2 linked regions of the Ovis aries genome follow. The protein of the gene in region 2 interacts with the protein of the main gene of each other region in a pairwise test. Links are inferred from orthologs where the notes say so. Each region holds a gene or a part of one and is shown on either strand. Other genes may lie near its edges. The genes, in order: BCL2L12 and GSK3B.

Region 1 (2,481 bases), on a different chromosome or scaffold from region 2:
CTGCTCCTCAAACACACCTAGCCAGCTTCTGCCAGTCCGTGAAGCCACGGCAGCCTGGCAGGGATGAGGCTGGTAAATGAGATGGTGTCCACTGAGCAGCCAGAAACTGATGTTCAAGGAGACGGGGACAGCAGCCAAAGGTCATTTAGTCCGTACACAGGAGCCCCATCCAGCTCTGAGCCCAGCGCTGGATTTAAAGCAGTGAGCAAGCATGTTAAGGTGGAAGGGTGTGGGGGTCACTGCGACTTTAAATGAAGACCAGGGAAGGCCTCACTGGGGGTGATACCTGAGCAAGTGGGCAGAGGAAGCAAGGAAGGGGGATATTGGGGAAAAGGCATTCCCGCTGGCAGCGCTGCACAGTCAGTCATCCCACAAAGACCAAGTACCTACAAGGATGATTCCATTTTAATCCTCACAATAACCCTTTGAGGTAGGTATTAAGAGTTCTCCTGCCTTTACAGATGAGGAAATTTGTTTCTGACATAACTTTTTGTGTATACCAGAGTGGTTAAAGCTGCGTAGGGCATCTGCAGTTATCAAGACAGTGCCTGGTGTACAGGAGGTGCTCAATAAACACAGAAGGACAAACGGTGGAAGCGGGGTCCCGTGATGCCTGAAAGGAAGGTTAAGACCCCACCCCCGTCCCCCCACCCCACCCCCAATACACACACATACAACGACAATTAGATAAAGAGAAGCCCAGAGAGGCTTTGGCGGCTCACCCAGCCCCCGTGGGCCTGGATCCAGGGCGCGAAGCTGTGCACATGCTCTACACTGAGTCCGGCCAACGTGCCCCCCAGCCCCGCCACTCGCCGACTCAGTTCCATAGCCAGGGCCAGGCGGGCCAGGGGTTCCGGGGAAGGTGGCGGAGGCCCAGGGCACGGTAATGTTTGACTTGGGCGAGGGCTGATCTCTCTGCTAGAGAAGAGCTCCACTAGGCGGCTGAAGGAACTGGCTGAGAGGCGCGCCAGTTTGCGCTGCAAGGCTGGGTCTGCAGCCAGCTGTGGGACAGGGAGGGGAAGAGCTAGGGTAAGTAAGCCTCAGTCACACCCTCGTAGCTAGCCAATAGGAAGCCGGAGGCGTGGCTTCAAGCGAGTTCTAGGTATAATTGGCGCCCTAGGCCTCGCCCCTATCCGGCACATCCCCCAATCACAAACTAGACTATAAGGTCTCAGCCAAGCTACTACCAGAAAGATGGCCGAAAACTGGCAAAGCCAAGCCATGCCCCTGCCAAGGCCCCAACAGCCAATCAGGGCCAAGCCCTATACTAGCTGTGTTCTAGCTTGCTAATGGAGAAGGCAATGGCACCCCACTCCAGTACTCTTGCCTGGAAAATCGCATGGATGGAGGAGCCTGGAAGGCTGCAGTCCATGGGGTCGCTAAGAGTCGTACACGACTGAGCGACTTCACTTTCACTTTGCACTTTCATGCATTGGAGAAGGAAATGGCAACCCGCTCCAGTGTTCTTATCTGGAGAATCCCAGGGACGGGGGAGCCTGGCGGGCTGCCGTCTATGGGGTGCACAGAGTCGAACACGACTGAAGTGACTTAGCAGCAGCTTGCTAATATTCTAGCGACACTTCTGTGGGCTTCCCAGAGACCCAGAGACCAAGCCAGTGTCTACAGCAACCTTGCCTTCTACCATGCAATGAGTAAGACGGTACACTTTGCCCAAGCTCCTGAGCCAACTAGATTCCAGGACAGAGCCACAAGCCACACTCCCTCTGGCAGTCCATTTCTCCTACATTCTAAGTCATAGCCCTATATAGTCAATCAGGTCTTCAGATTTTAAATAGCTGACTTTGGGTTACAGTCCATTGGGTTGCAAAGAGTCAGACTCGACTTAGCAACTAAACAGCATCAGCAGCTTCAAACCACACCTCCCACCCTTTCCCACACCATACATTCCCTTACTTCCTCACCTGGTCCCAATCTCTTTCTTAGACGGTGTTTCTGGTGGCCATAGTCCTTTGCCTATAAGCCACTCCCCTCTAGCGATCAATGAAAGGCAGTAGTTCAAGGTATTGCCCTGGCTTACCCTTCACTCACTCTTTCACTGAAGCCTTGTCCCACTGTTCCCTGTCTGACCATCCAGTGAGAATGCAGATCCAGCTTCAGGTCCCAGGGTGGAACCATGCTGCAATTCCTATCCTAGCTAAAGGGGGAACAGACCACCCATCACCTTCTGGTTGATGACTTCTGCCTCCTCTTCCAGCAAGGCCACCAGTTTTCGCAGCAGGGCTTCCTTCTCTGTGGGTGCGGGACCCTGTAATTCTGGAGGCAGAAGAGAATTTGGCTGGGGGCAGAACCCTGGTGACCCTTCTACCTGCATCTTTCTCCAGCGTCCCTCTGCACCTCACCTGGACTAGGTGGGGATCTCAGTTGCTCTTGGACCAGCTGTTCCAGCCGCTGGGCCACCAGGGCATAGAAATCTGGGGTAGCAGGGCCTGGAATGAAAAGAGCCAATGATGAGTCTTTAGG
Region 2 (4,519 bases):
ATCAACAATATAACTTGGCGGTCAAATCTTCCAGACCAGTAACATCAGAATTTATTTTTAACTCCTGACTCCTTCCCAAATACTCCCCCCTTCAATCCAATCCAAAGTCCTACCAGTTCATTCACGCTGTCTCTCAAATGTGTTCTTTTCATCCGATTTTCAATTTTGCTTTATATTGCCTCACTATTCACAACATACTCTACTACTCCCTAAAAGGGCTCTGACGTCTGGTTTCTAATTCATCAACTTTGCTGCCCAAACCATCTTCAAATATTTTGTTCATCAACCTATAGTAAATTCCAAACTCTCTTGAATCTCAACCATAATCATAAGCCCCCTCTGCTTTCCATCAGTTAACATATTTCTCAAATTCCATCTCTTCTTATTTTCCTATTTAGGCCCCTTTTATTCAGATTTACTAACCTGCTTTATAAATACAAAAATACAAAAGTCACCATCTCTGTGCCTCTGTCCATTCTGTCCACCTAGAATCCTTTATGCTTCTCAATATAAGTTACTGCCTCCTTTAACACCTGCCTTAAAACATACCTCTGTAAGAAGTCTTCTCTCCAAGCCATCTACCTCATGCCTTTATTTTTTGTTCCTCTGAACAAAGTATTCTATTTGCATTTATAATCTTGCAGTCATCATATTACTGTTTTCACGTTTTGTCCCATAATCTGCCTCAAAAACTGATAAGCTTTTCAAGGCAAGGACTATAATTTCTTATCGCTTAAACAGGGGTCCCTTAGAACACCAGCATTCCAACAAAGGCTTTCTTCCAAAATGTATTTAAAGTTACGGTTGTCAAAAACACATAGTCAACACTGAACTCCAATCTTTTAAATGTTAAGCTGACCTATATGGTAACAGAAAAGTCAACATTTTCACCTGCACTTTGCAAGAGTTACTCCATCTTCAGTCAACATCCACAAAGGATTCATAGAAAATCCTGTGAACTAAATGAAAAGTCCCCAAATTTAATATTATTAGGTATCCCATTCTGCTCTCTGAATAAACTAATTACCTAAAATTGATTTCAAGTGGTCTTTAAACCAAGATGAAAAACATCCTAACACTCCAGTACCACAAGAGGCTCTTAAGGAGCTATTATAAGATTTGCTTCATCATAGCTGAAAATTACCCCAGAATTTTAAAATATTCCTCTCAAATGACCCCATGAAGTGCTTAGAAAGCTTGACCATTCCCTGAAAGATGCATCATCAGCTTCCCTCTTCACATACTCTGCATTCTGAACTAGCTAGTCACCAAAAAAAAAATTTAACTCTCAAAAATAATCTCCCATTCAGCTATTACCTTAGACTACCCTGTTTCAGACAAGTTCCAAAAGCCACCATGAACTGAAATCCTGAGTTCAAGTAAGAGTGTTCATTTTATAATCAATTTCACATAACAGCATATACCTTTTTAAAAAAAATCTCAATTCAATTCTCTCCTTCTTCTAAGCAGTAAAAGTTTTTCTTTGCCCTCATTCATGCTCCTTTCTGAAGGAATAAGGAAACTATAATAGATATTTTTGTCGAATTCTTTAAGTATATTTAAATAAACTGACATTAAATATCACATAAACATATCCATAACTAGAGATACGTTAAAACACTGGATACTTAGTATACCAAACACTCAAAATAGACTTTTTGAGCACAAATCTGGGAAGAGAGTATAGACGTCTAGCAACAGCCTTGAACAAAGCCCAAATACCTCTATTAAATCTGGGACCACAACCTTCTGCAAAACCTATGATGATAAAGTCTAAATCCATATTCTTCTAACTTCATAGCCTTATCTGAATTCGAAAGGAAAACAATGCGAGAGTATTGTAAGCAGTCCTAAGAAGGAACATCTGAACTCTAGATCATTTAGCAAGTACTGAAAGCAATGGCACCCCAAAGCTGAACTTTAATGATGAGTCAGTGACAATTAACATTCAACTTACTATTTAGCAACATGACAATATAAGCCCCATTCAAAACTCGGACCTACTTTCAAGTTACCTTTTGATTAAACATTAACTCTATAGTGGTAGATTGGCAATGTCAAAACGGTAAGGTTAAGAGATAACATATTAAACCGCGTATCCAATTTAGAACAATGCATGTTGAGATACTACTGCTACTGAGTATCTATCAGCGGTACCCGTCCCTTCTAAAGAGACAAATCAAAGCTCGCCTTCCAACCGAAATGTGGTTACTTAGCGAGTTCATCTCTGGATTAAGAACAAACACTTTGTATAGTCACACAAGTAAGAAAGAAATGTTAGGAGACGGTGACATTCACCTCTTCCATTAAGTATACAAAACTATGGTAACCCTCGAGACCTGAGCGAACTAAACTATCCCTCATTCCAAAAGACACACTCTGGAAAAGCACATAATGGTTTATGAGTCTTGTCCTTCGCTTTAATCAAAAGGATGAGCAAGTAAACACTTCCATCACTATTTTAAGGTGGAAACACTCAACCACTTAATAAAGCTGACTATCAATTGCTAGAAAACTGTAAGAAAAGAACTAAGTTTCAGACAGAATCATCTAAATAAAAATCCCATTCCCCCGATTCAAGGTTAATGAGACCGGAGAAGGGATATGGGAGGAGGAAAAAAGGAAGCTGCCTCATCCTTGACTGAAGACAGGTTTTTGCCCTTTCCCATTACCTCTGTTTTATCAGCAGGTCTCGTATTTTAAGATCCTGGTATTTCAAAGTCTCTTATTCAAAGGGGAGGTGGAGAAGGGGTGTAAAATAAAATCAATACTCACTGCTAACTTTCATGCTGCCAAAAGCTGAAGGCTGCTGCACTGGCTTGCAGCTCTCCGCAAAGGAGGTGGTTCTGGGCCGCCCTGACATGATCACTCTTTTACCGAATCACCTTTTTTCCTTCCTTCCTCCTTTTCTTCCTTTTGTTTTATGTTGGGGTGTTAGGTTAATGATAAATGCAGCATTAAGTTTTCCCACAGGAAAAAGACTTCGTCCTCTTGCCTTTTCACTCCTTTTGTACAGCTATTTAAAAAAGCGAGCGATGTATTTCTCCTTGAAGACAGATCAGTACGGATATTTAACATATAGACGATCCGGGGCTGGGAAAAAATTACAATTCTTTCCCCTCCTTTTCCTTGGAGGGCAGAAATGGGTGGGAGATCCTAAAAAATATATATCACGTGAAACGGGGACAAATACTGGATTGAAAATAAGTACTCTGAATATTATATTTTCCTCGGGGATTTTTTTTCCGAGTCAATGAAGAAGGGAAGCGGCGGAAGGATCACGAGTCTCACGCTTGAAAAGAAGGGGGGATGGGAAGGAGGGAGGGAGAGGGAGGGGTGGCTCGGAGATGCGTCGGGAAACGCTGCGGCTCCGGCAGCGGCAAGGATCCGGCGGGCTGACGGTGGGGGCCCGGCGAACTGGAAGGCGGCGGAGTCGCGAGTCAGTCAGAGTCGGGCGGTGGCGGCGGCTCTTCCCCTCATTGCGCCAGGAGCAGCTGCAGGCGGCGGCTGGATCCAGCGGCCATGGCGGCGGCGGCGGCGGAGGCAGCTCCCTTCAGACCCCAGGCAGCGGCTCCTCGACTGCTCCCCATACGCCGGGGACATGGGAACCCGGCAACCGCTTCCGTCCCTCGGGGGCCCCCTCCCCCGTCCAAGGCACCAGCGCGGCCGCCCTCCCGCCCCTCGCTTCTGCACAGTCCCGCTCAGGAAGTGTCCGCGCTTTGCCCCCAGTCCGGAGCCCTGTCAGCGGCTGCGGGGTCGGCTCCTCCTCGCTTCCTTCCTTCCTTCCTTTGTCACTCGGCCCGGGCGGCGGCGGCGGCGGCGGCAGCAGCAGCAGCAGCAGCAGCAGCACGAGCCCGCATTCGCCCGGGTCGGGGGCTGCTCTCTGTGAGGAGTGCCGTCTGCGCAGCCGCCTAGCTCTTCCCCACTCCCCCTCCCCCCTCCTACTCGTCCTCCGCCTCCTTCCTCCCCCACCCAGCCTTACACCGCCCAGCGCCCCGCCGCCCGCGTAAGAGGCGTCTGGGAATCGCCGGCCGAGCGGGGCGTCCGCCCCCTTCGACAGGGGAGCCGAAACCCGAGCGGAACCAATCACGGATGTCGTTTGTTTGCGGATCCTCCCGGAAAAAGCCGATCGACCTGAAGAGCCAATCAGAAAGTGTCGCTGGAAATTCACGCCCAAGGACGGAAAATGCCGAAGATAGCCGACCGAGGAAAAGGTGGGTTCGCCTTGTTCTGTGGCTGGCTGGAGGAGAAATTCGGCAGTGACCAATCAGAGTCGCTGGCCCTCAGGAAAAGCTTGAAGAGTTAAGGACAGTGAAGCCCGGAGTCGCTGGCGAAACCGCACGGCTGGGCGCCGTGGCCGCTTTGTAATTGGCCGAAACTCCGCTGGGAGTGCAGCACCCTCGGTGATTGGTGAAGGGAATGGGGCTTCCGAGGACAGTCTGGCCAGTCAGGACGCCTCCTCCCTCGCCGAGGTGGGGAGAAGTAGAGAGCGAAGGGAGGGCGTCTATAAAGCGCTTTT

What was found.
Region 1: the proteins of GSK3B (region 2) and BCL2L12 interact in a two-hybrid assay, tested with the Homo sapiens proteins (2 studies listed by BioGRID and IntAct). The link is inferred for Ovis aries from reciprocal best matches to the Homo sapiens genes GSK3B and BCL2L12.

Annotation. Positions count from the first base shown.
Region 1 is NC_056067.1:55,803,402-55,805,882, reverse strand, and holds part of BCL2L12 (bcl-2-like protein 12), read right to left. Parts: intron 2,448-2,481; coding exon 2,361-2,447; intron 2,275-2,360; coding exon 2,183-2,274; intron 1,002-2,182; coding exon 723-1,001; coding exon of another isoform or gene 684-722; exon of another isoform or gene 1-683.
Region 2 is NC_056054.1:185,712,718-185,717,236, forward strand, and holds the start of GSK3B (glycogen synthase kinase-3 beta), read right to left. Parts: upstream 2,864-4,519; coding exon 2,776-2,863; intron 1-2,775. UniProt on the Homo sapiens protein: Constitutively active protein kinase that acts as a negative regulator in the hormonal control of glucose homeostasis, Wnt signaling and regulation of transcription factors and microtubules, by phosphorylating and inactivating glycogen synthase (GYS1 or GYS2), EIF2B, CTNNB1/beta-catenin, APC, AXIN1, DPYSL2/CRMP2, JUN, NFATC1/NFATC, MAPT/TAU and MACF1.